Linked DNA regions of Tamandua tetradactyla. The protein of the gene in region 1 purifies or fractionates together with the protein of each later gene. This does not show direct contact. Links are inferred from orthologs where the notes say so. Each region holds a gene or a part of one and is shown in the gene's direction. Other genes may lie near its edges.

Region 1 (7,778 bases):
TTCAAACCAGCACAGTGGGGTACCTCTGTTACAATTGATGAAACAATATTACTACTATACCATTAACCATAGTCCATAGTTCACATTAGGGTTCACGGTTCATGTTATACAAATCTGTGGACTTTTTAAATTTTTATTCAGGTAATATATATACAACACAGCATTTCCCATCTGAGCCATTTTCAAATACAAAATTCAGTGGTGCTCACAATGGGAGACAATATTTGGAAACAACATATCAGATAAAGGTCTAGTATCCAGAATTGTTAAAGAGAGTGTTCAACTCAACAACAAAAAGACAGCCAACCCAATTACAAAATGGGCAAAACACTTGAACAGACACTTCTCAGAAGAGGAAATACAAATGGCCAAAAGGCACATGAAGAGATGCTCAACTTCCCTGGCTATTAGAGAAATGCAAATCAAAACAACAATGAGATAATATCATCTCACGCCCACCAGAATGGCCATTATCAACAAAACAGAAAATGACAAGTGCTGGAGAGGATGTGGAGAAAGAGGCACACTTATCCACTGTTGATGAGAATGTCAAATGGTGCAACCACTGTGGAAGGCAGTTTGGCAATTCCTCAAAAAGCTAAATATAGAATTGCCATATGTCCCAGCAATACCATTGCTAGGTATCTACTCAAAGGACATAAGGGCAAGGACAACAAACAGACATTTGCACACCAGTGTTTATAGCAGCATTATTTACAATTGCGAAGAGATGGAAACAGCCAAAATGTCCATTAACAGAGAGTTGACTAAACAAACTGTGACATTTACATAAGATGGAATATTATGCAGCTTTAAGACAGAATAAACTTATGAAGTATGTAACAACATGGATGGACCTTAAGGACATTATGCTGAGTGAGATTAGCCAGAAACAAAAGGACCAATAATGTATGGTCTCAATGATATCAACTGACATTAGTGAATAAACTTGGAGAATTTCACTGGTAACAGAGACCATCAGGAGATAGAAATAGAGTAAGATATTGGGTAATTGGAGCTGAAAGGATACAGATTGTGCAACAGGACTGAATGTAAAAACTCAGAAATGGACAGCTAATGGTGCTAATTGCATCTGTAATATTGGGCTCCTATCACCACCATTACTAAAACTTTTCCATCAGTCCACATGGAAATGCTGTACCAAGTAAGCATTAACTCCCCGTTCCCTGACCACTACCCTGGCCCCTGGTAACCTGTCTCCCAGTTTCTGACTCTATGAATTTGCATATTCTAATGTTTTCATATAAATGAGACCATATAATATTTATTCTTTTGTGTCTATAGCCTTATTTCTCTCACATGATGTCTGCGAGGTTCAGCCATGTTGTCACCTGTATCATACCTTCATTCCTTCCTCTGGCTGAATAATTTTCTGCTGGATAGACAGACCACTGTCGTGGTCAGGTCCATGTATCAGCTTGGCCAGGTGGTGGTACCTGTTTGTCTGGTTGGGTAAGTGCTGGCCTGCCTATTGCTATGAGGACATTTCATAGAATTAAATCATGATCATGTCGGCTACATGAATAGCTGATTCCATTTGTGATCAACCAAGGGGAGTGTCTTCTGCAATGAGTGATGCTTAATCTAATCACTGGAAGATTTTCAAGGAGGATTCAGAAGAGACAGGATCTCTTCCTGCTTCCACCAGCGAGCCTCTCCTGTGGAGTTCATCCAGACCCTCCATCAGAATCATGAGCTTCACAGCCTGCCCTGCGGATTGTGGACTCTACATTCCCATGATTACGTGAAATACTTTAATCAATTTTATATTTATGAATATTTCCTGTTGATTCTGTTTCTCTAGAGAGCCCTAACTAATACAGACCACATTTTGTTTCTTAATTCCTCTGTTAATGGACACTTGGGTTGCTTTCATCTTTTGGCAATTGTGAATAATGCCATTGTGCTGGTTTGAAATGATGTATGTACCCTAGAAAAGCCATTTTTTAATCTTAATCCCATTTTGTAAGGGCATCCATTTCTTCTAATCCCTATTTCTAATAGGATTATGTATGTTTGAACCTGTAATCAGATCATCTCCCTGGAGATGTGATTTAATCAAGAGTGGTTGTTAAACTGGGTTAGGTGGAGACGTGTCTCCACCCATTTGGGTGGGTCTTGATTAGTTTATGGAATCCTATAAAAGAGGAAACATTTTGGAGCAGACGATTACGCAGCCACGAGAAGCAGAGAGTTCACCAGCCAGTGACCTTTGGAGATGAAAAAAGAAAACGTCTCCTGGGGAGCTTTATGAAACAGGAAGCCAGGAGAGAAAGCTAGCAGATGACATCGTATTTGCCATGTGCCCTTTCAGCCAAGAGAGAAACCCTGACGGTGTTTGCCACGTGCTTTCTCATTTGAGAGAGAAACCCTGAATTTCATCGGCCTTCTTGAACCAAGGTATTTCCCTCTGGATGCCTGTGATTGGACATTTCTATAGACTTGTTTTAATTGGGACATTTTCTCGGCCTTAGAACTGTAAACTAGCAACTCATTAAATTCCCCTTTTAAAAAGTCATCCTGTTTCTGGTATATTGCATTCCAGCAACTAGCAAACTAGTAACAACCATGATCATTGGTTGTAATGACTTTCGTTTTAATCACAAAGGCATCATCTGGCTATTATAAAAGTTCAGATAGACAAAATAAAAACAAAGTGGGATGGAAAAAAAAAGTTTTTTCTCTTGACCTGTTCTACCCTCAAAGTAAGCAATGTTCTATCTTGGTGCATATTCTTCCAGAGCTGCTTACATTCTTATCCAGACATACCCATGTACACACACGTCCACAGACACATACCCCTTCATGCCAAACATATTACTCTGCAATTTCCATTGTTAGCATAGCATAGATCTTCGACTTTTCCTCTTAGTACATAGAGATCTAACTGGTTCTTATGAGGAGTTGCTTAATAATCCATCGTTAGTGTACACACCCCACCCCACCCCCAGTTTATTCCTCCAAATAGTGGATTGTCCCATTTTAGACATTAGAGAATGATGATCAGGAAAGAAAAGGCAAGACATAAAGCAAAGAATGTTTCATTGTTCAAGAATCTCCTGGCTTTGTTTGACTGTACCCCTACCCTGAAATGAGCTCAGACGTAGCAAAATAATCCCAAATCTCAAACTAGGTATAATTTTTATACTATTACATAAAGCTTTCATTTTATTCAAGTAGGACATCAGGGTCAGCTCAGATTTGAATTTCAGCTGCCCTATTACCATTCGAGAGATCTGAAACAATTTCTTAAATTCTCTATGCCTCAGTTTTCTCATCCATAAAATGGTAGCAATAATGGTTCTTTACCTATCTCATAGGGTTGTGGGAGGAAGTGCAATTCATTATACTTAAGTGCACATCATTTGGCATTCATGTTGTCATTGCATGGACATTTCTTAAGAAAATACTTATTAAACTAACAATTTTCCTTGGGCATTTGGAGCCAATCATTTGTTCTTTCCCAAAGTTTTGTATGAGATTTAAAAAAAAAAAAAAGCAAAGCCTCATAGAACCTAGCTATTTCTCCTGGAATACATATTAATTTATTAAATCCTAAGTTTCCTTGTGTTTTAAAGAGCTGTTAAAAAAAAAAAAAAGCCTCAGCGGCTTTTTTTGAAAATTCCTCTGCGCTGGGTACCCAAAAGATAAAACCCCCCAACCCAAACAAAACCCGAGCAGTCCAGCATCACAGCAGGCAACCGTCCCTAACCCCCAGCTAAGATCCACAGCCTCGGTGGGCTCGGGTGGGCAAGCCTGGGAACACGGAAGGCAGGGGCTGAAATACCCCGAGTCTCACACATGCACTCTTAACACGTAGTAGTTTCCTGACCCGAGTGGGTGGGGGTGTGCAGACCCGTTGAGGGGGGTCCTGGCTCAGCCTCACCCTTCAGGTGGGAATGACCAAGTGGGCTTCCCATTCCCACCGCCCACAGGGTGGTCCCGAGGCTGCGGGAGGGGTGGGGTGACCGTGTGGAGTGAGGTACGCCCCGCGCCCACCCTGAAGAGACAGACGGCCACTCAGAACGACAGCCCCAGGCCCCGGGAGGGTTTTTTCTTGCTGGAGGGAGGCCCAGAGGACGAAGGCAGAAGGTAGGGAAGACAGGGGAGACCTCTATGGAGACATCTGACGAGTGAACAGGGGCTGCACTCTAAGGAGTTTGAAGTGCGACTTGGGAAAGGCTTGTAGGCTAAAAAAAGCAGGAAGTGCTCAGGCGGGGAGGAGCGAGATGTGGCTAAGAGGGCGAGCGGGTCGGATCCACGGGGTTCTTGGGTTTTACTCAGAGAACCAGGCAAGTCTCCTCCATCCCAGGGATAACCTGAGGACCTCCCGCTCCCTTCAATTCCCTCACAGGTACTCCAGCGCCACCGCCCGACACCCCAAAATGCGTGGGGACCCCACCCCTAGGTGACGTCATGCGCTCCAGGCGGCACACGCACAGAAGCCTTCTCCCGGACTCCGCCAAGGGCGGGCTACGCCTCCGCCCGGTCCCGCCCCTCGATGTAGAAACCACTGTTCATCTCGCGTTGCCAGCGGCAACGTAGGCGGCTGGTTGCTAAGATACCTGGTATTGCGGTTCCCCCCGCCCCTTGCTAGGCTCCGGCCAACCCAAGCTCGTCCATTCAACCAATGGCAAATGGGCAGTGGGCGGGACTTGATTTACTCGGACCAAAGAAACGCGGGCTACATCCGGCGTAGCGCAGCCAATGAGCGCGGGGCGGCCCCTGTAAATTGGCCCGAGCGCCCCCTCGCTCGCCGTTCCTCCGCCCCCGGCCCCGCCCCACCACAGCACTGTGCTGGTTGCGGTCTGACCCGAACGGAACGGAGCCAAGATGGCGGCGGCCGACGGCGATGACTCGCTCTACCCCATCGCGGTGCTCATAGATGAGCTCCGCAATGAAGATGTGCAAGTAAGAAGGCTGTAGGGGCTCGGGGAAGACGGCAAGGGAGACATGGAGGCCCTTGGAGGCCCTCGCGGAGGGGATCGCCTTTCGCCTGGAGTGGCGGCCGAGTTGGCGGCCAATCAGCGTCCAGCTCTCATCCCTCTGGGTCCCCGGACCCCATGAGACGGCGCTACGGATTGGGAGTCGGCGCAGCGGGGGGGTGGGAGCATGGGCGCGCCTGGAGGGTCCTGGGCCTGCCGAACGCGCGCGGTAGCCGGGGGTCTGGGAGGCCGGGGTGGGGGCACGGGATGAGGGTGGGTAGGGCCCCGTGATTGGCGGAGGTCCCGGAGTGGCCCCTTGACTGGGCGGGGAGCGGGCGCGGCCGTGTTGGCCAGGACTTGGGTGTGATTTCTTCTTCTTGGGTTTCCGCGGGGCCGCGGCGTGGGCCCCCAGAATGGGCTGCCTTCGCCATTCCTGCCCTCCTCTCCCATTTTGATGTACACCCTCAAAGAGGAGGAGGGCGCACCGGGGGGAAGCCAGCACTGTAGCAACCCGCCCCCTTTCCCCTCCACCCTATCCCCCCACTTTCCTCAGCCGGCTCACGATTTTCTCCTGAGTGGGTTGTTGGGGGAGTGTTATATATAGGGGGGCTTTGAGCCGGCTTAGGGCTTCCTGATAGACCTGGGGGGCCGGTCACAGCTCCACCGCCCACACGCTGCGTGACTTTGGGCGAGTTACTTCACCGCTCTGAGCCTCTTTTCCAGGCAGTGTGGGGTGATATAGTCCTGGCCTCACTGGGTGATTGTGAGGACTGATTGCGTTAAAAATATTAGTAAAACAGACGGCTTCTGGCCGATTGTAAGGGCCCAGCAAATATTAGCCGTAATTATTGTGAACAGTGCGTGAAGCCTCCCATCCTCCATCTCGTCCTCAGATTCCCACTTATAAAATCGAGGGGGATGCACTGGGAAATGTTCCAAGGCCGGGCAGGGCTCGGAGGTTTTGGGTGCCTCGCTCTCATTCTGGAGTCAGACAGGCTCCCCTTTGTCGAGTGAAAAATGGCACTTGACGGTGTTAAACAGGCAAGAATGACTATCCAGTGGCTGTTACAGCAAAGGGAGAGAGTTAAATTCAACTCTGCGGAAAAAAGGAAAGCCGGGTTTTTAAGGACTGGAGGTGGGTTGGAGGAAAAGCCTAGGAAGATAGCAAGGGGTTTTATCACTGGGATGGGGGAAGGGATTTGCTGAGGTTGCAGTTAGGCCTGGTTGGTTCCTTCAATGTGAGCAGGGATTTACTGGTTGCCTTCTGGACCACCTGGTTCGGAATGTTTTCTTTTGCTGTAAGGGCCAGGAGAAAGAAGGAGGGAGCTAAGGAACCTCCCAATTAGGAGCTTCTCAGGTGCCTGGGTAGCCAGGTGAGGGGAGAGGAAGCTCGGGGGTGAAGTTGCTGTTTACAATTGTTGGGGCCTAAAGTTGTCCTTTTTCCATTTGTCTTGTCGGCGGTCCGGTGCTCCCCACCCCTCACCCCCTTGCAGTTGGAGTTGTTTTTGTGTGCAGTCCCAGAGCTGCAAGATTAGTCAGGACCCAGGAGGGAGTGGGGAGGCATGCAAGGAGTAAGCTGACTGCTTGGTCAGTTTGTACTCCTCTCTCTTCAACTTCTTGCTGATTGATATGGACAAGTTAGGTGAGTCTTGGTTTCTTCTGACAAATGGGGATAAATGTCTTGTCGGCCAGGCAGTTGTGTGAATTCACGTGTTCAGTAAACATCTGCTGAGCCTCAGGTATGGTGCTGGGGCAATAGCAGTGACACTGGTTGCTCTTCAGGAGACAGGTGTGAAGCATGTCGACAGCTAAATATAGTCACACATATGAGACATGGTGGGCAGGAAACAAACACGATGTGATAGTGGGCCTGCAAATATCTGGAGCCTCAGCTGTGCACTGTCTTTGGCACAGGTGTTTAGCAGAGGATGAGAAGGACATTTCCTGGCTTTGTGGTGCTTATCAGACTAGGGCTGGGAGATAAACAGTAAGCAAAATAAGTAAATTGAATAATATGTGAAACAGGGATAAATACTATGAGGAAAAATAAGAGAAATGTGGAGTACAATTTTAAAAAGAGTGGTTAGGGGAGCCCGTGCTGAGAAGGTAATATTTGAACAAAGATACCAGATTTGCTGGTACAAATTGCAAGAAATGTAATGGCTTAAAACAACAGAAATTTGTTATCTGACAGTATTGTAGGTCCAAAGTTCTGACATGGTGACTTGACTAGGTAAAATCAAGGTGTCAGCAGGGGTATCTTCATTTCTGGACACTCTAGAAGTGAACCATTTCCTTGCCTTTTCCATCTTCTAGAGGCTTTCCCCATCTAGTACTTTCCTCCATCTTCAGGGCCAGTGAGGGTCCTTCTTCCTGATTTTTCTTTCATAGTCTCCTTTCCCTCTCTCACAGTCCGGAGAGATTCTCTGAGTTTCAAGGATCGATGTTATTATATTGAGTCTGCCCAGGTGTTCTCTAGGTCCTTACCCAGATCACATCTGCAGGCTCCCTTTTGCTTCATGAAGCTGCATAATACTTGGTGATTCCAGGGATTGGGTAGTGGACATCCTGGTGGGGCTTTATTCTGCCCCCCACAGTCACTGCATTGGAAGGGGGAGATTGAGGGACAAAGTGGTAAAGAGGGGATGGTGAGTGTGCTTTTTTTTTTTTAACTTCATCAGTTAATTTAGCTTTTTTTGTTTGTTTGTTTAATCCTTGCAGTTTTAAATGTTACTGCATTGAGGTCAGTGAAGCTGAACTTGTTCCACAGGAATTTATATTTATGGAGTACTGGGTATTGGGCTGCCTGATGAGGCTACAGCTGTGAACAGA
Region 2 (7,201 bases), on another chromosome or scaffold:
TGCCCTCACCAAATTCCATGATCAAAAGGAGTCCACAGAGCCTACGAGACCTGCATTCAGAGGCCAGTTCTGCCACTTCACTGGTTCTATGAACTTGGTAGGGTCACCTAACCTCTCTGAGTTTCATTCTCCTCAGCAGTAAAATAGCGGCAAAAGCATATATCTTACAAGACTGAGGAAGGTTTTAAGAGAAATAGTATACTAGATGCCTGGCTCTGTGATCTGTGAGCTAAATCAGCAGAAATGATCATCATTTAAAATTCATACTTGGTTTAATTCTCCTTCCCATAACATGTTTATTAATCTCTGGTTCTCACATACTGACTGATTCAGGACTAATTCAGAGTTCTCTCTCAATTATCTAGAAATATATCATCCAATCCAGTAGCCATTAGTCACATGAGGTTATTTAAACTTAAATTAATTTAAAATAAGTAAAGTTAAAATTCAATATTTCAATTGTACTAGCCACATTTCAAGTACTCAAAATCCACATGTGACTGGTGGCTACTATATTAGACATCATTGATAAAGAACATTTCAATCATTGCAGAAAGTTCTATCGGTTTAGGAGGGTTATAGTTCCCTTTGGGTCCACCTAGATGTGCTGATTTCTTTAAAAAAGAAATGAGGCAAAATGGATCAACCTATTCACTCACCAACAGTGGCACATACTTGGATATATGGTTTAGGGTTAGGGTCAATGGAGGTGATAAATCCAAATTAACAGTTGCTTTAAGAGGAGAGAAGTTTATTTCTTTTTCATGTTAAAGTCTAGATGCAGGCAATCCAGGGCTGTTTTGGCAATTCTGCTTTCCAAAGTCTGGGGTTCCAGGCTCCTTCCTGCTTTCTGCTCCTTTCTTAGGAGGTTGCCCTTAACTTCATAGCCCAAGATGGAGTTCTGTCATTTCCAAATTCTAGGCAGGAAGATGAAATAGAGTAGGAAGGGGAAGACACATGCCAGTTGTCTTTTAAGGAGAGTTCCCCGAAGTTTTCGCCTGACATTTCCATTTCCATTGAGGTAGAGTGCTAAGGAGGCTGCTGTGAAATGCAATCTGCATTCATGTGCCCAGCTAAATATTCTCTCCTTAGGCTCAACACCTGAATGTGAAGATCAGGTTAGGAAATACCAGCGAGAAAATGAAGCCACTGAATCTGCACATTCCTTTTACCCTGGCAAGTAAGAATTTGCCAATTGCAGTTCAGTCTGAGGAGATGGAATGGTGTGGCAGAGGTAGCAAAGTCTTTCCCAAATCCAAGTCAGGAGGGGACTGTGATAGAGCCTTCTGGATTGTAACTGTAAAGGAGGTAAAACTGCTTCAGTCTGAAGTGATTGTGGTGCTGACTGATGGCTGGGGGATGTGTAGGGGTTGGCCTACTTGGTGTCAACTAAAACAAGAGTCATAGAAAAATAATATATTTGTGTCCCCAGAGAGATATATATCTATATTCAATGTATATATATTGAAGTGGGATTGCCAAATGCCTAGCCTCAGTGCTGTATATAGAAATATCAGCAGAAGAGGGACAAATAATTCATTTTGCTTACTGGAAGTTCACTTGAACACCGCCAGGTCTTCCTAATTATGTGCCTCCTTATCCTCTCTGGTCTGTGTCCAGCCTGCAGGGTGGGCTTCCCCACCAAGAAGGAATGTTTTGGGCAGATCATATTGGACATCAAGTTGGGCCCATTTCCTATTGTAGATGAATAAATGGACATTCCTGTTTGTCCAAACTCCTGTGAGTTTGGTTGGCACAAAGTAATCTTCTGAATAAATGGATAAAATCAAGTTCCTAGATCAGCAAAGGGCAATTTGCCGTTCTGTTTGCAAGTCTTATAGACTGTATGACCCTCAGCATACTAACCCTGCACCTGTAGTGACACCACCATGACCTGAAAACCCCCATGAGTAACATTTTTTTTCCTGAAAATCACACCCATTCACTTGCTGGATTCTATAACTCCAAAGGAACCCTGATTTTTTTTGTTTCCATCAAGAGCTAAAATTGCTGAATCTTGTTCTCCTCTGGCATGAATTATTTCTCAATTTCACATCAGAAAACCCAGAGGAAGAATTCTGATTGGCTCAGTGCAGACCAATCAGCTGAGGTGGGGGAAGGGTCATTTAAACATATGGGACCACATGGTTGGGATGTGGGAGAGGGAAGGATGCTAAGCAGAGAAAACATTAAGCTCCGTTATGAGAAGAAATACCTGTCATTTAGGTAGATGCCAGCTGGCATGGGAAACTGAAGATAAATATGAATAGTATAGATAGAGTTAGATTATAGAAGGCCAAGGAAAATGATGGTCAGTTCTGGGTGCAGTGTTTTAAAATGAAGATAGACAAACTGTTATGCGGCCAGAGTACAGCAATTAGTAGACTGCCTATAAATTGTATAAGGGCGCTAACTATTGGTGCATTGTCTTAGTTTCTTGGCTGCTATGACAAATACCACACAATATGTTGGCTTAACAATGGGCATTTATTGTCTCATGGTTTTAGAGGCTCAACAGCTTGCTTTCTCCTGGGTCAGTTGTGTTCTGGCAGGCTGGCCATCCTTGGGATTCCCTGGTTTTCCCGTTGATGACCTCTCCCTTCTCTTTTGGGTTCCAGATGACTTACAGCTTCCAATTCCTCCCTGTGGCTTCTCTTTCATAAAGCCTTCTGTAATAAAATTAAGACCCATCCTGATTCAGTTGGTCACACCTTACACAAAAATAACATCTTCAAAAGGCCCTATTTATAATGGGGTCATGTTGCTGGGAATGGGATTAAGATTATTACTTTATTTTTCCTGAAGTACATAATTCAAACTATCACAGGTGACATTAGGTTCAACAAGGGTGGAGAGAGATAAAAAACAGACAACAAGATCTCAATAGAATTTAGTGTTGGTGAGAAGAAGTTTTAAGGAGAGGAGTTAATGATAGTCAAGGGTTTTCAACCTAGAAGAATGTGAGCTTTTACAGAAATAGGGATGGTAAAAAGAGGAATTAACATGGAGAAATAAGATGCATTCAGTTTTAGACATTGTTCTTGAATTCGAGATGCCAGCGGTATATCCCAAAGCAGGAATAGATAGCAATCGGTGGAAATGTATGCTGGGTACCCAAGGAAAGACATTATCAAACTATATGCAGATAACACATATTTGGGGCTAGAAAAGAAAATGCCTACTGGGCTTTGGAGATAGGCTATTTAAGGTTGTGGGAAGAGAAAAAGGAAAGAGCCAGTGAAGGAGGCAGATAAGGAAAGTCTGAGGGAATAAGAGAGGCATTGCAGAGTCTGAGAAGCCAAAGCAGAATTTAAAGAGGAGAAGTCATGGAAACTAGTGATGGAAGAAACTTGGAAAAGGAAGTTGAATTTTAGAGAGGTTCTTAGGAACTTTGTAAAAGAACCGTTTTAATGTGCTGTATTGGGGATAGGGCTGGGAGCAGACTGCCAGTGGTTACAATTTACTCAAATTCTTGCCGCATGCTTAAGTCCTGCAACACTATGTTAAGTGTTGGGGAAAGGAAGGCCAGCATAGTCTGGACCTAAGAATGTCATAGAGAGACAGAGGAAGAGAGAAGTGAATGAATAAGATACAATGTTAAGAATGTAATTAATGCCACTGATTCGTATACTTGAAAGCTTAAAATGGGAAATGTTATGTTGCATTATGTTACCACAATACAAAAAAAAAGTTGAAAGTTCTTTAACAGAGATATGTCCAAGATATAATAGAATCTGCAGAATGGGAGGCCCGCGGGGTGGATTTGGGGCGGGGTGGGCAGGGTGGTTTGCTGTGTAGATGCGTGGTGGGTATCTAGGAATCCCGCGGGGGCACTTCCAGCAGAACCTGCTCTCTGAGCCATGGACAGCTCTTGGGGGTAGGTGCGTGGACAGCGGGCACGAGGAGACCCGGGAACTTGGGGTCTTAGGGGAACTGGCAATATTTGGGTTCTGTTTGAAAGATGCAAGGATTGGATTTGTAGCCGGAAGTGAGATGAAGGAAGGGGAGACAAAAAAACGACTCTAAATTTTCTCCATTCTTACATCGGACAGAAAAAATCAGGAGGGACAGAGAAGAGAGAGGGTCTATTGGGGAGCTGGCGGGACAAAAGCCTCAGTTTGGCTGGCTCCGGCTTTCTTGCTAACCTGCCCGGGTTATGCATCGGGCCGGAACTTTAGTGTCCTAATGCCTGGTTGAGCGCCGGACGGGAAATCGGGAGGGAACTGGACGGAAAAAAGTGGGGCACCGGGGAAGAAGTCACCCCTAGCAGCCGGCGTTGACTCACTGGTGAATAGTACGTTCGGGATGTGGGAGGGCGACCCTGCTCTGGCAGGTGAGGGGCGGCAAAAGCCCATCCTCGCGTGGCAGGCGGCAGGGTCTGGGTTGCCCCCCGACCTGGGCCGGGTGCTGAATGCCGGGCCCCAGTGTTCGTTTTGGCGCTTACTGTGTTACCTCGGGTAGTTTAATCTTCCTCATCTCTATCATTGAAATGGTACCTCGCTCAGGGTTGTTGTGAGGAATCAGTGAAAATACGTTTAGCACAGTGTCTGGCACATGGATTTACAATCTTTATTAACAAGCTTGTTTCTCGTTGTCGACAAAGCTCACCTTTAATCTGGCCGGGTATCCAGTTAATGGATTTTACTTTGTGTTTATTGGTAAAAATATGAAGGAAAACATTTATAACTAAAGTTATATTATTAGAAGGAACCGTATTATTGAGGATTTGGAAAATAGAGCCAATAATGTTACTCAATCCCGTCACCTTACAGACAATTTTTAAGCCTTTTCCCCTCTTCCTTTCTTTTTTTCCCCCTAAAATATGTTTTTTTAAAAAAATTATTTATTACTTTATTTTTCTTTGTTAGAGAAGTTGTGGGTTTACAGAACAAAAAACAAGACCACTCCATAATCATGTTTGAAGGAAGCAAAAATCATGAACATTGTTCCGACCACAAAAATGACCAAACATCCCATCCTGGCTAATATGAATGAATGCTGCTTCCTTACAAATTATGGCATTAACCTCACTCTAGTCTTCTTTCCTTCTAGATAAGATTTAAGATCATACAGTTACTCACACTTCCTGACAGTATGCTCCCCCAAATCACATAACACATGCACAAATCCTATAAGACCTCTCTAACACTCTTACTGAGATGACCATGATTCCCTATGATTGTTCCTGCACAAGGAGTAAAAAATCCAACTTGTTCAACTACTGGCATGTTCTTGGTGGTCTTTGAAGAGAGTTGACACCGTTCTTCCTCTATATTCTCATAAGCTCCTGTGCCTACCTCTCATAGCCCTTATGTAATATTATGTAATATTAGCATAAATGTTGCTGGTAAAGGCAAAGTTGTTATTTTATGAGAACTATGGACATAATATTACTAATATCTTACATATAGAGAGGCAACAGCATCTGGTGGAAGGATTTAAGGCCTGGGTTCTAGTTCCAGTTCCCATGCTGATTAGCATTGTGATCTTAGGTAAGTTACTTCATCTTTCGGTGTCAGTTTTTCTACAGGAAGAAATTATCTACTTGACTTGTCTCACAGTAGTCTAGTGTGGATTAAATGAGGTAAGATGATTTGAAAATAGAATAATATTTAAATGCGAGGTGATGGTGTTATGGCTACTACTGTTCATGATCCATCTTTGAGAAGCTCAAAATAATGACTGATAATCAAAGCTTTGTTACTCAGAGTGTAGGCCTTGCACTAAGAGTTTGTTAGACGTGCAGAATCTTGGGGCCCTCATCAGGCCTACTAAATCAGCACAGCCTTTCATTGCTGTTATTCTGTCTCATCTGCAGAAGAATCCCTTAATGTAGGTACAGAAGACCTCAAAAGATCAACTGGTTTACCTGAGGATAAACAGCATTATGAAGTTTAGCTATATGAAATTGTTGATATCCACAACATTTACAACCCCATAAGTGGGCACAGCTGGGTATCCAGTCTAGTTTTTCTGACTCCCCTTACAATGCTCACACAAATATAGCCCTTCTTTTTATAGGTGAAGTGCTAAAGTTTTAAGTCTGTTGGCCCACGTCCTACAGTGATTAATTGAATATTTTGTTTTAGGAACCTATTGTTTTTTAAGAAATCCAGCGTGAACATTTGCTTTAAAATTGACACAACTTCTCAAGATAGCTTTCAGCACATACTTGAATTATTTTGGGATTCATTTTTAGCTCCGTGAGGATGGAGCCTGTGTTTTTTTTTTATTCATCTTTAAATTCATCTTGGTATTATTCACAATGCATAATATATGCTTTGCTCATAGTGGGTGCTGGATAAATGTTTATAGAATTAGAATATAAATTCATGAATGTCATCATACCTGTCCTGGATTGAAATTGAAATTGTAATGCATTCATTGCTACACGGTAACTCTTTCAACGTCTCTTCTGTTACAGGTGGAATTGGGCTGTTCATTGAAGCTTCTTTCCTTGGTGGTCCAGGGAGAATTTTACATTTTGACTTTTTCTTACCATGGCTTTGGTTCACAAATTGCTGAATGGCATATATATTCTCAGAAAATGCCAGATGCCAAGTGCTGCCTCACATCTATTCCTGGGTACTCACTTTGCAGACTATTGTTCCAGTGGTCTTCAGAAACCGGTGGTTGCTCCTAGCAAAGCTTCCCCTCAGAGGAAGACTGAAGAGGGTTTGCAAGGACATCACCATAGAGAAGCTGCTTTGGACATACCTTCTCCTGATGAAAAGCCTGAAATTAGTTTTGAAAAAGCAATTCAAGAAGAAATAAAGGACCATTTTAGGCGCTTGAAGGATGATTTTGTGAATCGTTGGAAAGGGCCTGAAGGCCACCCTTTACATGAAGTCTTGCTGGAACAAGCTAAGGTTGTCTGGCAGTTCCGTGGAAAAGAAGATTTAGATAGGTGGATAGTGACTTCTGATAAGACAATTGGAGGTAGAAGTGAAGTGTTCCTGAAAATGGGCAAGAATAACCAAAGTGCACTACTGTATGGAAATCTGAGCACTGAAGCACCTCACGACGGGGAGAGTGGCCGCAGTGGGTACTGTGCAATGATATCCAGGATTCCAAGGGTAGGTGAGGTGCAGTGGCTACGGTTTCTTAGTGATATGGGGTGAACTTTGTTGTGACATGAACTAAGCAGGCAGCTTTTGTTCCAGTAAATGAAAACACCTGGCACATTGTTTCAGTTTGTTAA
Region 3 (7,085 bases), on another chromosome or scaffold:
CTGCTGCTTTTACAAATGGCTTTCCTTCTTAGTTTATTAAAGCTGCTGGAATGCAATATATCAGAAAAGGAATGGCTTTTAAAAAGGGAATTTATTAAGTTGCAAGTTTATAGTTCTAAGGCCATGAAAGTGTCCAAATTAAGCCACCAACAAGAGGTTACCTTCCCTCAAGAAAGGTGATACCATCTGGAACACCTGTCAGCTGGGAAGGTATGTGGCTGGCATCTGCTGGGGTCTCTGGCTTCTGGACACCTCTCTCAGGTGGTAAAGCACTGGCAAAGTGTGTTAGCTTTCCTCTCCTCATTTTATAAGGCTTCCCCAGGGGCGATTTCCTCCTGCATCTCCAAAGGTCTCTGGGTGCGTGGGCTCTGTTGGCACTAAAGCTCTTTCCAAAATGGTTCCCTCTTAAAGGACCCAGTAAGCAAGCCCACCTTGAATGGGTAGAGACACATCTCCACGGAAATCACCTAATCAAAAGTTACAACCCATAATTTCCATGGAAACATTAAAAAAGATCCCACCCAACAATACAGAATGAGGATCAAAGAGCATGGCTTTTCTGGGGTACATAACAGTTTCAAATGCACACACCCTCTGAAACATTCGTATAGTGATTTCAGGAGCGACTTTCAAACTTGGGACATTCATTTTATTTAGCGCTAAAATACCAGTTGGTGATGGTAAAAGTCTGGGTACAGTCGGGAGAGAGAAGTCACCCAGCAATTTCAACAGGGACAGTTTAATACAAAGAATTATCAACTACAACAGGAAATTAGAGAAAAGAGGGATTAGATAGTAAGAAATAAAGAGAACTCTAAAGAATACAGGAAGAGTGGATATGAACAGCAACTGAGACAGAATGTCCAAGGAAAAGCCTCCACCCTCCCTGGGGCTGAAATCCAGGACTTCTAAGAAAGAGCACAGAGGTTGCTGGGTGCCACTCTGGTTGGAACTTGCTGGAAACCTGCATTCCATGGTCCTAGGGAAAGCAGTTCACAGGAAAACATCTTATCAGAGGCACAAAACCATCAGAGGGAGTTTACAGGAAAAGCAGGCACACAGAAAATCAGCCTGTACCAGAGAAGCGGAGAGCTGGAAAACCTATTCGCTCTGCAGGAGCCTGCCAATAGAGCCCACCAGAACCAGGGAGCAAAAACTCTTTTACTGCAATGCCTCCCAAATGGTGTATTGACAAGTCTTAACATGGGACCAGTTGGCATAGAAAAAAATATTTAAAGGCCCCAGTTCCACTTTCACAGAGCAGGCAAAATGGGTGACTCTGGAGCTGAGAGGTTTTTAAATGAAGAACCAACACAGTGACATGCCATTGTTTCAGATAACAACAGATACCTCTCCTGGCCTTTCTTGGCTTTCCCTCCAGTCCTTCCAATCTTCCTCCCTTCCCTGACATCCTCACTATGAGCCCTACCACTTTATCATGCAACTCCTTCCGAACTGCTCCCTGCCCACCATCTCCCAGCCCCCCCCCAAAAGCCAAAGATGGAGCTGGTGGAAGGTTAATCTCTACACTGGGGCAGAGAGGGAGTCAGACCATGGGGAGGACCAGAGAAGTAAATATTATAGCAACCTGAAGTAGCTGACCAGAGGCAACAGTCTGGAAAGGAAGGGGCTGAAACCTGACTGGATCCGTTACTTCAGGGTGGAGAAGACGGAAGTTGAGGGAAGTAGAGACAGTGGCAATTCCGTAGATAGGGATAAAAGGCAGTGATATAAACTGAGGGAACAGGCACCAGGTTTAGCTCCAAGGCAGAGCATCTGGGAAGTGTTGAATTGCTGATGTCTAAAGTGCAAACCAGGGCAGCAACTCAAACCCAAAGCTTCTGATCCTTCCACAGGGGCGGTTCTTAGCAAAGGTCTGTAATGGACTGTCCCAACCATTTCAACACCCTGCAGCCACAAACCAACCTGACCCAACCCCACCCTACCCCTGCTGATCAGGAGCTCAGGCTAGAAGCTTCTACAGAGAGAGGTACTGAGCAGAGTAGTACCAGGGACCTGGTACCAGAAGGGGCAGGGGTGCTCTGAGAGGAAGAGGCAGTTGTCATCTTTCTCTTTTTATCTGTAGCCTGACATTTAGATCATTTATCAAAAACATTTAAATGTGTTTTCTCACTTGATCTTCAAAGCGCATTTTGAGATAAGAATGCAAAGGTTTATTGTTCCTATTTTATGAGACCACTGAGGCCAGGAAGAGTTAAGCAGGTAAGAGATCCAGAATTTCAAGGAGAATGAAACACTTTTGTGCCCTAGCAGCCAATCTCTGGCCACATCATCTTACTCCCCTATAGGTGGCGTGAGGCCTCTTACACTTGGATTGGCATATGTTGGCCACACCCTAAAATATGTACCCAGTTGGTGGTTAAGATAGGAATTGTTGAAATGGTAGTCACAAAGAGGGCAGAGGTGAATGCTGGCCCAAGCTGGGGCCAAGACTGCCACAGTCTGCTTTAGACTTCAACTTGATGTACCCCAAAGCCCCAAGCGTGGGTCATGGCAAGGGCCCTCAGTATCAGATTCTTAGGCTCAGGTCCTTTCTTTTAACTATCTCCATTGCCCTTGGTGCTGACTTCTTCAAGAGACTGGGATAATCAATTCAGATCAGGCCTGCTCTGTCCTTGAAGGTTTCTCCTGCCTTGGAGCTTGGAGAGCACTGGGTATTTTAGCAGGAAAGCCTAAAGAGAGGGTCTCAACTCACCAAAGCCACCATGCCTCCAAGGCACATCCTCAGGCACTAGACAGCTAGCCCTGACCTAGGAGTAGAGTGAGAAGGCCTCTAGGTGTAAATAGCTAAGACTCCTATAGTGGATCTCCAGAGGGCCAAGCAAACCTGGTGTTACAAAGAGAAGCTGTAGCTCCGGGAAGACATCTGTCTTGATGAGTCCTTGGGGCATTGGGGAGTCTTCACTGACCCACCAGCTCTCCCAGATTGTGCTCTTTCCATATCATCTTTTCTGTTTCATTAGTTGGGCGCTCAAACTTCTGATGATTTTACAGGACCGGGTGGGTGCCTCTGCATGTTTCCACTTGGTCTCAGATCTAGGATTCCAGGCTTCATGTTCTCTTGCTCTACCCAGAAGAAAAATTCCTTGATTTGGGTCACGGAATCCTGGGGCAGGAGAATTGGTAGCGGTATGGGTTTTGATTAGGCGGTAAGGGTGCTTTCCCATGAAGCAACCAGTATATTCCGACTTCCTCCCTACCCGCTCTTGGTAAAAGCTCCCACAGGTGCAGTCTTTCGCCTCTCCTAAAAGCGGAATCCCGTCCGCGATTCCCTACTGAGGAATTATTTACACCCCCATCTAGAAGCCAGCGGCTCCTTGGAGCCGAGAATAGAAGCGGGCGGAACGCCAACGCGCACGCCAACGTGGGTTATCGGTCTTCTGCATGACGCCCCTATACTGAGCCCTCTGCGCGGGCCGCAGACCCCGCCACAACTCCGGGAAGAGGTACACACCCTTCAGGTGAAGTGAAGCTCACTGCCCCAGCTTCCTCCTCAACCTCCATTCAGCCCAGTCTCCCTAGGACCTCGCGCGGAAAGCGGGGCCGGGGGGCATAGGAGCTCTAGGCGGCTCGGACTTCGGGGTGCCCGCCGCCCTCTCCCCAGCTCGGATCCCACGACATGGGAACTCCGTTTTGAATCTGTGTGACCGAGGGTAGCAGGATAGTCCGGAAAGATACAGGAACCAGCCTCAAATGAAGCCTCTCTAGGAAACTGGGGATTTCTCCTATCGTCAGCACTCAGTTCACGTTTATTGGCCTAATGACCAGAGGACCGGAAGATGCCCTTAAAAAATGTGGCGGCACTCTAGCTTCACTACAGCTGCTTCAGTAATTCAAGAAACCTGGAGCAGCCTTCGGCCATTGACTGGCCTTCAAAAAAAATGATGCCACCCTGTTCACTTCGGTTGATCGAGGATTACAATCTCTGCCCTCAACCAAAATGGCGACTGTGCCCAATTCGGCTCCTTGCCCCTAGGGATAATGGCCGCCGAAGCGGCTTCACTTCGCTTCTCTCCACTCCGGAAGACGGAGATTGTCGATTGGGCGGTGCCCGAAGGCTCAGAGAAGAAGGCCCTTGGCGGTTGGGCAGGGTTGGGTAAGGCTGGTTTTAAAGGAGCCGGGGGGTGGGAGCCGTCGAAGACCCGGGATCCACGGGAGGCGGCGGTGAGTGGCGCGCGGGGGAGGGCACGGGGCCGCTGGAGAGAGGGCGGGAGGAGGGGTGGGGGAGGAAACATTTGCACCATCTGGTTCCCGGGTGGGGGGAGCGCTGGGCGGGGATCCGGGGAGGGCCGGGGTGGGGGGGTGTATGTGGGCGGGACCTCCCGGGATTGGAGTGAAGGGGTATCTGCTTGACAGTGGATCTCCGGGGATCCGGACTGAGATCCGTGATGCTCAGGCTCGGACCGCCCCTGGCTGAGTGGAGCTTCGCAGAGCCGGAGCTAACCGGGGGAGGAGAATCCTCGCGCGGCGTCTGATTGGAGGAACCGCGCTGTAGGATTCTGTCCTCCGAGATCCAGTCTATGGGATCTCGGGGCGCGGGGGACCGTCGGTGTGTGGGAGTATTGCTTCGGAGGCCTCCGTCACTTGCTGGGAGTGAAGAAAGTATCACAGAGGGAGCCGGCGGAAGCGGCGCCTCCCAGGACCGGGATCCCAGCGGATCCCGGGGTATCTGAGGGCGAAATCTGCAGGGACAAAGGCCCCGGGAAGCTCGGGCCGTGGGGGTGAACTGGGGCGCCGCAATACAGGTTCTCGCGGCAGGTGCCCGGCAGGGCGCGAGTAATCCGCTAATCGCGGCGGCTGTGGCGGCGGCGGCGACAGCGGGAAGACACCCGCTTCGGGAGGCCGGCTGGGGGCGCCCTACCGCGTCTCAGGGCTCTGGCCCGTGGGCTCCCCGGCGCCGCGGGCGGACCATGAAGGGCGGAGCCCCGGGGGAGGGGCTGGCCCTCACTCCCCGCTCCCCCCCTACCCCAGGCTGCAGCCTGGGATCCCTCAGGGACCCCCCGGAGCCGCCGCTTTCCCCATGGACTTGCCCGGGGACTCCAGGTGAGAGCGCACCCCGCCCGCCTGTTTTGAGCCCGGGAAAGGGGGAGCCTGGCGACAGTACCGGGAAACCAGAGAGCCGGCGACCGGCTCAGTCGGCTGCCTCTGCTTTTCTCATCCTTTAGCCCGCCCGGCCCACCGCGTCTGTGCCGCCAGCCATTGGCCCGAGCATTATGGGGAGCCGGGAACCCGAAACGGCCGAGGCTTCAGCCCCAGGGAGCTCCTTCACCCCTGGAAAAGGCCTCTCGGCGGGTCCTGGCCGTGGTGCTGGAAGATGTCATGGCTGCCCACATGGTGAGCCCCTGGACTGAGAGACACCTCCGACATACGCGCGTGCGCGCACATGCGACTCTCCTCAGTGTCAAAGTCAGACCTACCAGAGTCCCAGTGAGGATAACTCAAGTCCAAACACCCCAGTCCCATGGCCCAGGCGGCCTCCATAGTGCTAGAATTCTCTTAGGCTCTCATTTGCTCCAACCTAAAATTGGGCAGGGTCTCCTGCCCCTAGTGGCCACCCACAACCCTGGTAGGCTGGCCCCACATCTCTGTAACTCAGTCCCAGCAACCCTTTGGCTTCCTTCTCAGCCCAGCCTCTAGGCAAGCCTTGGGAAGTAGGGTGAGGTCATTGACTCCACTTCAAAGGAGCGAAAAGTGGAGGCCCAAATTATGGCAGTGACCACTCCAGGTCACCTTCTGCTTTTCTTTTCTCCAAGCAACCAGGGTGAGAAAAATTACCCATGTCACATCCCGGCAGGTTAGGATACTCTAATTTTGGGTCCTTAATTCAGTCTAAGTTACTTCTTTGGGGATCTCAAGTGAATTCTAGCCACAGCCTCTGTCCTCTGTGTGGCTGGGGGCCCTGCACAGCCAACCTCATTCTGTTAGCCTGCACTTGACCCTTTATCTTCTCCTAGGTCCCCTTGGTGCCCCAAGAGGAGACTTCTGCTCTTCGACATCACAGCAACCATCAGGATTCTGCCTGTAGCCAGCCACCTGCCTTGCCACCCCAACAGGCCATGTGGTCCCCACAGGCCAGGTGAGCATGGGGATCAGGCAGAGCTGGGGACATGGCTGAGCCCCTCTGACCCTCCTGCTCCCTCTCTAGGCCTCCAGACCCTCTGCACTTGTGCCGTGAGCCCTTGAGCCGCATCCACCGGCCCCCTGCCACCCTGAGGCGGCGACCAAAGACAACCCCTGGCCCTGAGGAGGGCCCTTCACAAAGGGTGGACCAGGCCCCCCAGCCCACCCTGGTGGTGATGCTTGAAGACATTGCTGGCCCTAGATCCTCAGCCGAGGCACGGAAACTTCAGGTAAGGATGTCAAGTGTCAGAGTGCTGGGAGTAGGCATTCCACGGAGACAGAGGACAGAGGTGAGAAGCCTGAGTCTGGGGTGGATTTTGCTCAGGGCAAGAATGACAGTAGTTTACATGGGAGATGCTGTCTAAGCAAAGACCTATTTGGAAAAGTGTTTGATGTGAACCCAGGCATCTGGAGTCCAAGAGATGGAGATGGGGTGTGGGGAGCTAAAGAGGCTGAAGGATAACTTCCCTGCCTCCCTACAAATATCCCCTTTTTAATCCAGGGCTCTATCGGTGAGACCCCCAACTTCATCACCCCAACGCAAAGGTAAGAAAACTGGGGAAGGGGTCATCAAGATGTCCAGGCCACAGCCATGGTCCCTGGCAGCCAGGTTTAGGGACAGTAGGAGTTACTTATCCAGTCCTTTTTTCTAGCACCATTAGAAACCTTAAGGACAGGTGCTGGCTCAGGTGAGATCAGGGCCTGGAAGCTCCCCCAACCTTTCTTTACCTTGCCCTTTCACCCAGAGCTGAGTCCATGATGATGGTTCGCCAGCCCATGATTCCACCCAGGGACCTGGAACTGCCATTCCAGCCATCTACCTTGCCTGAAGAGCCTTCAGAGAGCACACCGCCAGGTCAGGATTTGGGTAGGGGGATGAAACTTGGGGCTCTGGGAAATCCTAGCTGACCTTGAAAGTGTCAGGTGCAGAGGTGGGGGTGGGG
Region 4 (7,989 bases), on another chromosome or scaffold:
CTTCCCACCTCCAAACGGACGGACGGACACACCTGCTCCTAACCCACCTCTCTGCTGTCCCACCCCCCGATGATGGAGGAGGGGTCCCTGCTGCCTTTGAAGGCTGACACCCCATCCCCGGATCCGCCCCTCCCTCCTACCTCATCCATGTCTTGCCACCACCACCCCCAGTCTCCTTCAATAACTGCTGGGTTTTTCTTCCCCCTTTGCAGCCACACTTCACAAAAGGGTTCCCTATACTCTGCCTCTACCTCTTATTTACTCTTCAGTCCACAGCCTTTGGCTCCTGCCCCATCTCTCCACCGAAACTGCTCTTTTCAAGGTCACCAGCAGCCACCATGTTGCCCACTCCAGGAGGCACTTCCCTGCTGTCGATTTTTCCTCTAGCTTCTCCGCAGCTTCTTGTTATGGAGCCCTTCCCCCACCTCTCCCTCCTTGCTAATCTATGCTACTGCCTTGGCTGCCTGACAACATGTGGTCTGGCTCCCCTCCTACCTCCCTGGCCACCTCCTCTCCGTCTTTGGTGGCTGGTTCCTCCTCTTCTACTATTCATGGTCCAGAACCAGGAGTTGATAACTGTGTGTTTCTAGGCTGGCTTTTCCTCTCTCTGTAGACCCTCTACCTCCTAGGAGACCTCCCTGGTCCCATGGATTTAAATAGCGTCTAAATGCTCATGAGTCTTCATGACTCCAGACCCAACTGCTACCCCGAACCCCAACTCCTGTCAGAGGCGTTCTTGACATCTCACGAGACTGTCTCATAGGCATCTCAAATTGAAGGTACCCGGGAAGACACTTCACTCGCCCTCCATACCTAGTCTCTCTACCCCCGAACCATTTCTAGGCCTGTATTACCGGCCGTGTTAAATGGTGCCAGCATTCATCCTGTAATTAAAGCCGGAATCCTGGGAGTTGAGCTTGACTTGGTTTCTCTGATCCCTCACTTCCAGTCCAGGCTGCTTGAGTCTTCCTCCAGAACAGAGCTCGAGAGTACCCTGTCCACTGCCTCCACCCTCGTCTCAGCCACCATCGTCTCTCAGAGACTGGAATGTTCTTCTAGCCTGTCTCCTGGCATCTGCTCTCCACAGCGGCTAGAGTGATCTATTTAAAAGAGAAGTTAGATTCTACCACACCTGCTTCGAATCTCCAATGGCTTCTCACCGCACCAAGAATAAAGCCTTGCCAAGTACATGGCCTGGTCCCTGCCACCCTCCCCGGCTTTATCTTGCTCCTCTCTCTCCATCACTCTTCAGGTGCCAGCCACATTGACTTTCTTACTCTTTCTTGAACGTATATCAAGCTTGTTCCTGCTTCAGGGCCTTTGCCCTTGCAGGGGGAACCCCACCTGGATTTCTCTTCTCCTAGCTCTGAATAATGCAGCTAAAATGTCACCTCCTCAAAGAGTCTCCCTGACTACCCTAGTGAAAGTAGGTTTCTTTACTGATTCCTCTAAGTTCTCCCCAACCAATGTTTTTTTGTTTCATGATTTGTATAGTGAAAAATGCAAGCAAACTTTCATTTAAATTATTTTAAAAATCACCTCCTATTTGAAGCCTTCCAGGATTTCATCTCCATTTAGTTTCCATCATGTTGATCAATTAAGCAGCTTGAATAGGAGAAATGAAATCTTTTCCACCAGCTAATCACCATCTTCATTTCTTACATTCTGATATATAATTCTTACAACAATTTAACGCTCCATTCTTTCTTCAGTAAAGCTTTATAGAACACAACCCTGTACTGGCACCAAACAGTTTACAGCCCAATAGTGCAGCAAAACAGGTTCCAGAATTATGTGGCCCTAGGTTTAAATCGATCCCACTTGTAAGCTGTGTGACCTTGGGCAAGCATTCCATTTACCCACTGCTGCGTAACAAACTACCTCAGAACTTAGTAGCTGAAAACAACAACATTTACTTTCTTCCAAAACTGCCACTGGGGCAGGTTTGATGGGACAGCTCATTTCTGCTCCACTTGAGGTCAGAGAGGGCGGCTCCAAGGCTGGGGGCTGAATCATCTGCAGGCTCGCTCTGTCCCATGCCTGCTGGGTGACACGGGGCCAAGCTGGAGCTGCTGGCTGCACGTGGCCTCTCCATGAGGCCTGGGCTTCCTCACGCCATGGTGGCTGGATTCCCAGGGCAAGTGGCCCAAGAGAGGGAAAGAGAGCCGGACAGAAGCCACCTTGCTTTTTGTGACCTATCCTCGGAAGTCACAGAATGTCATTTCTGCCACACTGTACTGGCTGAGACAGTCACAGAGATTTGCCCGGGTTCAAGGGGGAGGGAATGTAGAGCCCACCCCTCAGTGGGAAGTATGGATGCCATGCTGTAAGAAGAGTGATTGGGGTGAGATATACATTGGTGTGGCTGTCTTTGGGGGAAAAAAATCAGCCACGACAAGTCCCTTAACCTTTCTGAGATCCTTTATTGACGTGTTGAGCACAGATCCTGGCATATAGTGGGCACTACCAGGCTGGGTAACCACGAGGCTGGCTGGCAGCTGAGGATGGGCTTCCGGCCTTCATGGAGCCAATCCTGGGCTCCCAGCAAGGACTGGACCCTTGGTGGTCTCCCTGGTCCCCCCTCTCGAGGGCCTTGCTGCTCCCCAGGCTCTCCTGGGGCTGTAGTGAAGGTTGATGGCTCCCCAAATTCAAGGAACGTCAGAGCAGTGAAGATCCTTAGCCCCCAGCTCTGCCATCAATGTTGGGACCGGGAGTCAGGCCCAGTCCCAGCAGGGAGATCCAGGTCCACCCTTATCTCAGGACCACTGGTGTGGCCAAGGGGGTGTTAGGAGTGACAGAGCAGACATGGCTTCACACCATCCAACACCTCCAAGCCCACATTCAGCAGAGGGAGGAAACTGAAGCACAGAAACTGAACAATTTCCAAGAGTTACATAGCATCTGTCTGTGCCAGACCAGAACCAGCCTGCAAGAGCCGGGGACATCAGAGCTGGAAGGCACCTGTCATCTGTTACATCAGACCAGACCAGACCAGGTGGGACACTGAGGCCCAGGGACGGGGAGGGCTGCCCTGGGTCACAGAGAGGAAGCCCAGTGAGCCCACGTCACTGCCCAGCACCCTTGTCATATGCTGCACACACCCTGTTTGTGAGCAATCTTTTGTGGTCCATCTTCCCTTCAATCTGTGTGCTCCATGAAGTCAGGAAGTGACAAGCCCACTGCCATGTCCCTCGGTGTTCCACCTGTGCAAACAGGGCTGGGGGGGTGCTGGTGGGAGTGGACACTCATGGAGCAGGGGAGCTCGTGCCTTACCATGAGAGCCTGGGTCCTGCTCTCTTCTCGGCTCAGTGGGGGACACCCAGAGAATCTGAGGCTGGAGGTGGTGCCTATGCACCCAGGTCAGGAGGCAAGGCATGCCTCACACAAGAGGGAACACCCCAGGAATGTATTCACTGTAAGTGTGGGTGAGGGGGACAGAGACAGAGAGGTGGGCCTGGTGTCAGCTGTGTGCCAAGGCCCGGTGCAGAGGTGGAGGAAGCGGAAAAAGAGGAGGAAAAAAAAAGTGAAAAGGAGGAGGTAAAGGGGGCGGGGGAGTGGAGGAAAAGGAGGAGAAAAGGGAAGAGAAAAGGAGGAAGAGGCAGAAAAGGAGAAGAAAATGGAGGAGAAGGAGAAAAAGAGGAGGGGGGAAGTGGGGGAAGGGCGAATGGGGAGAGGAGGACGAGGCTGCAAAGGGATGAGCACACTGCTGCCGTCCTGCGTGGCGAGGAGGTGCCCTGCGGAGGGGGCGCCCACCCGCGGGGCCGTCAGAGGAAAAGGCTGGACTGACTCTAGCTCAGGGAGCTGCAGCGAGGCGCCGGGCATGGGGGGGTGCGGAAGGTGCGACAGACACGCGGAAAATCAACAACTCTGTCAGGAAGTCCCAGAGACAGCCCCAGAAAGAAAGAAACAAAGCTCCTCTGGAGCTGCCTCGCAGGGACACACGCGGGTCAGGCCAACCGTCCCGCAGCCCTGCGAGCCCACGCCGGGGCCAGAGCCCCCAAAGCCCCCACTCTTCTGACACTTCGTGACCGGGCTCCTGAAACTGGAGCCAGGGAAGGGGTGGGGGCGGGGTGCAGCATGCACGGCGTGACAGTCCGCCAAAGTGTGCAGAGGGGGGCACGCACCCAGGGCTCTATGGCCCCCACGCCCTTAGAAAGGAAGCCGACGACGGAGAGGGGCCCGCGTATACCCAGGAGGTGTGAGGCTGGGGTTCCTTCCTGGCTCGTCACGGACCTTGGGCTAAGGCTTCAGTTTTTGCATCTGTACAGTGGGATAATCGGCCTTGCTTTGCAAGATTAAGGGGGGCGGGATTCGTGCATCAGCGCACGCTCGGCGCCGGGCGAGGGTCTAGGGGTGTGCAGGGACGCGGTCTCCGGCTTTCCCCCAGTCCAGCTGGAGGGGGTGGGCGGCGGGCGAGCCGAGCAGGAGGCGCCGGAGCCGCGGCTGCCCGGGCCCGCCTGACCCTGGAGGGGGTCGCTGTTGCCTCGCAGATCCCTCCCTAGCTCCCGGCCTGCGTCCCTCCCCGCCGCTCCCGCCGCGTCCGCCTTTTGTTCGCCGAGCCGCGCGCCCCCGAGCCGAGGCGGCGGGGCGGGGAGCTGGCGGGGCTGCGCGGGGGGCGGGCCGCGCCGGGCGGAGCCGGGGCCCGGGCCGCAGCCGGACTCGGAGCCCGAGAGGGCGATCCGCGCTCAGGCGGCCGGGGCGCGGGTGCGCTGTGGAGGCGCGGCGAGGCCGAGGGGACGGGCGCCGGGCGCAGCCGGACCCGCAGCCGGAGCCGGAGCCAGAGCCGGAGCCGGAGCCGCGGCGCTTGGAGGCGGTCGGTTGGTTCCCTCCGCGCGCGGAGCAGCCGGGAGACCGTGCGGCGGGCTCGGGATCGGAGCGCAGCCCCAGGGCTGAAGCGGCCCGAGCGGCTCCGGAACCCTCCCCAGGGGCGCGGAGGCCGGGCGGGCCCGGGCCATGCCCACTGCTCGCTGAGGCCGAGGGAGGCGGCGATGGAGGCGCCGGCGGCCGAGCCCCCGGCCCGGGGCTGCGGGCCCCCGCCCGCGCCGGTCCCTGAGAGGAAAAAGAGCCACCGCGCGCCGTCGCCGGCCCGGCCCAAGGACGTGGCCGGCTGGTCTCTGGCCAAGGGCCGCCGCGGCCCAAGTCCCGGCGCTGCCGCCGCGTGTAGCGCCGCGTCCTCGGCGCGACCGGACAAGAAGGGGCGCGCGGCGGCGCCTGGGGCCCGGGGCCCGGGGGCGCGGGTGGCCGGGGTCCGCGCGGGGGTCCGCGCCAAGGGCCGTCCGCGGCCTGGAGCCGGCCCCCGGCCCCCGCCGCCGCCACCCAGTCTCACCGACAGCAGCTCGGAGGTGTCGGACTGCGCGTCGGAGGAGGCGCGCCTGCTGGGCCTGGAGCTGGCGCTGAGCAGCGACGCCGAGTCTGCGGCCGGGGGCCCGGCCGGGGCCCGAGCGGGGCAGCCCCCCCAGCCGGCACCTTCCGCTCAGCAGCCTCCGCGACCGCCCGCCTCCCCCGACGAGCCGTCGGTGGCCGCGTCGTCCGTGGGCAGCAGCCGCCTGCCGCTCAGCGCCTCGCTCGCCTTCTCCGACCTCACCGAGGAGATGCTGGACTGCGGGCCCGGCGGCTTCGTGCGCGAGCTGGAGGAGCTGCGCTCCGAGAACGACTACCTCAAGGTGGGGAAGCTGTGGGGGCAAAGGGAGGCCGCAGGAGGCACCGGCTGTCACAGCCCCATGGGTCTGAGGCCCCAGCTGGCCCACTTTCCCACTGAAGGGGCTGGAGAAAGGGACCCAAACCCTCTGGGGACCACCCTGAGATCCATCTGGGGCCCTCTGTCTTCTTAGCGTGCACGCAATTTGGGGGAAGCTCTCTTGGGAAAAGGAACCTGGATGAGACGCTGGCCAAGGGGGGCCCTGAATGTTTCTGGCATTTGGGGGAAAGGGGGCTTGAGAAAGCTGGTTTGGAGGTGGTCGGTGAGGGATTGGATGACTGCATCCCGCTACTCAGAGCCCCCCAGGCTTTCGTGGCTGGCCTTTTGGAGATAGGCATTCATGTGCATGGGTGCCAATGAACCTGACTGTGTGGCCTGGGAGCAACCAGGCTCTCCCTGCCAAGCAGAGGCCAGAACAGCATCCTGAGTCTTCAGCCAGGGCTTTCCCTGGCGCGGGCCTGCCCCCGCCTGCCTCTCAGGGCGGGTCCGGTTTGAAAGCATGACATCTGGGAACATCCCCTTGGCCAGAGTCCCACTTCCGCCCTGTCTAACGGTCCTATAGCCGGAGAGGATGATGTCGTGGGAGAACTGGTTCTGAGGCAGCTTCCTAAATCCTAGGCTGGCCCCCTGGCCATGTGAGGCCGTGCAGGAAGGGGATTCACGCTTATTGTCCTGTGCCCCTCAGGGAAGGCCCTGTGCATGCAGCAGTCCCATTGGCCCCTCTTGGCCAGTGCCTGTGTCCTTGTGTTCCCTGGTTGAGAGAAGAGAAGCCTGCCTGAAAGAGGCATCCCCACTGGGCGTGTGGGGACTTGTGGGCTTTCCTGGGACAGCAGGCTGTGCTCGCACACGTTGTGGACTGAGCACCTGCCGGGTGCAGGCCAGGCTCTGTGTGCCCACCGCCTGGCACTGTGACAGCTGTAGGGACGGCCTAGCCCTCGGATGTCATCCCTCGTCCTGGGAGGTTGTACGTTCACAGGCCCTGCTGCCCCTGGCCGGGTGCAGCTTTGGAAGAGGCTGCGGTGTTGCCATTCTCGTCACCTGATGGACTGGCACAGCACCCAGAAAACCCTGGCTGAGAGCCCCAACGTTACGAGCATTCTCTGGGTGATGTCTGCCCGGTGGCCCACACTTTGCTTTGTGTTGTGGCTCTTCTGGCCAAATGGGTTTCCCCGTCGGTAGAGTGTGGGGGTCTTGCTCAGCAGTGTCTGTCCCTCCCCATTTTTCCTCAGGATCTGCTCCCCAGCAGGCATTCAATATTTACGTGTAGAATAGTAGGACAGGGTGTGTCTGAGTCAGGATAATCCACCTCTTCAGCCTCTAGCCTTTCCCCAGGCCAGGCCTCAGTTTCCCCATCTGTCACATGGGACTGCAAGTCTTCCCAAAGGCCATTCCCCATGGATGATCAGGGTTTCAGCCAACTCTTATAGTCTGTGGAAGCCAGTGGTGAGGTGAGGGTAGGTGGAGCTGGGTGGGAGGCCGGAGAAAACCACGAAGGAGGGCTCTTGGCTGTGTCCTCCGGGTACTCTGAGCTGCTTCCAGCACCCCCTGCCCGCGCTGTGTTGAACTCAGACCCTGAGCTCTTCCCCCCTTGCCCACTGCTTGCCCAGGCGAGGGAGCATGGGTCCCAGAGCCTTGCTTCAGCAACTCTTTTAGAAACCCCCCCCAGGAAGTCATCAGACGACACTCTGGAGCCTGTCTGAGCCCCCCCCAGCACTGTTCAAATGAGGGAACAGTCCCAGAAGGCTGGTATTTGAACCCAAGCCCAAGGGGCCAGGGCTTAGCTGGAGACACCCCCACTGGTTCAGGGTGTGTGTGCAGATCTTTGGTGTCTGTAGCATCCTGGCTCTTTGATCTTTGACAAGTTTCTTTCTTTCTTCACATGGGCAGGCGCCAGGAAGCAAACCTGGGTCTCCGGCATGGCAGGTGAAAAAACTCTGCCTGCTAAGCCACCGTGGCCCACCCCTGACAAGTTTCTTAACATCTCTGGACCTGTTTTCTCATTTGTAAAAATGGGATAATGACACCTTCCAGCCCTAAGGGTTAAATGGGATAATGTGTGCAAAGCACCCCTAGAGGAGCTGGCAGGTGTGAGCCTCAGAGACAGCTGGTGTGAGTACTGCTATTCTCAAAGGTGTGTGACATATTCCCCTGTGCACCTGTCCTGGGGATGCTCTGGGCAGAATAGGTCCTCTTCATCCCTTGCTGAAGCATTTGGGCTCTGTCTCCTAACCCCTCATTCATTCATTCATTCACCAAGCATTTATTTATGACCTCCTGTGTACCAGGCACTA

Evidence for each region.
Region 2: the proteins of PPP2R1A (region 1) and NDUFAF1 purify together in Homo sapiens (affinity purification with mass spectrometry; 3 studies listed by BioGRID and IntAct, with this or other methods). This does not show direct contact. The link is inferred for Tamandua tetradactyla from reciprocal best matches to the Homo sapiens genes PPP2R1A and NDUFAF1.
Region 3: the proteins of PPP2R1A (region 1) and PRR14 purify together in Homo sapiens (affinity purification with mass spectrometry; 5 studies listed by BioGRID and IntAct, counting the BioPlex papers as one, with this or other methods). This does not show direct contact. The link is inferred for Tamandua tetradactyla from reciprocal best matches to the Homo sapiens genes PPP2R1A and PRR14.
Region 4: the proteins of PPP2R1A (region 1) and MTCL2 purify together in Homo sapiens (co-immunoprecipitation; 3 studies listed by BioGRID and IntAct, with this or other methods). This does not show direct contact. The link is inferred for Tamandua tetradactyla from reciprocal best matches to the Homo sapiens genes PPP2R1A and MTCL2.

The regions. Positions count from the first base shown.
Region 1 is NC_135342.1:8,986,160-8,993,937, forward strand, and holds the start of PPP2R1A (serine/threonine-protein phosphatase 2A 65 kDa regulatory subunit A alpha isoform), read left to right. Parts: upstream 1-4,770; 5' UTR 4,771-4,854; coding exon 4,855-4,932; intron 4,933-7,778. UniProt on the Homo sapiens protein: The PR65 subunit of protein phosphatase 2A serves as a scaffolding molecule to coordinate the assembly of the catalytic subunit and a variable regulatory B subunit.
Region 2 is NC_135340.1:55,000,411-55,007,611, reverse strand, and holds the start of NDUFAF1 (complex I intermediate-associated protein 30, mitochondrial), read left to right. Parts: upstream 1-4,200; 5' UTR 4,201-4,294; exon of another isoform or gene 4,295-4,333; intron 4,334-6,424; 5' UTR 6,425-6,500; coding exon 6,501-7,076; intron 7,077-7,201. UniProt on the Homo sapiens protein: As part of the MCIA complex, involved in the assembly of the mitochondrial complex I.
Region 3 is NC_135349.1:23,881,245-23,888,329, reverse strand, and holds the start of PRR14 (proline-rich protein 14), read left to right. Parts: upstream 1-4,078; 5' UTR 4,079-4,185; intron 4,186-4,575; exon of another isoform or gene 4,576-4,686; intron 4,687-4,992; 5' UTR 4,993-5,041; coding exon 5,042-5,064; intron 5,065-5,186; coding exon 5,187-5,355; intron 5,356-5,975; coding exon 5,976-6,097; intron 6,098-6,166; coding exon 6,167-6,371; intron 6,372-6,643; coding exon 6,644-6,687; intron 6,688-6,887; coding exon 6,888-6,997; intron 6,998-7,085. UniProt on the Homo sapiens protein: Functions in tethering peripheral heterochromatin to the nuclear lamina during interphase, possibly through the interaction with heterochromatin protein CBX5/HP1 alpha. Might play a role in reattaching heterochromatin to the nuclear lamina at mitotic exit.
Region 4 is NC_135327.1:15,452,352-15,460,340, forward strand, and holds the start of MTCL2 (microtubule cross-linking factor 2), read left to right. Parts: upstream 1-4,988; coding exon 4,989-5,663; intron 5,664-7,989. UniProt on the Homo sapiens protein: Microtubule-associated factor that enables integration of the centrosomal and Golgi-associated microtubules on the Golgi membrane, supporting directional migration. Preferentially acts on the perinuclear microtubules accumulated around the Golgi.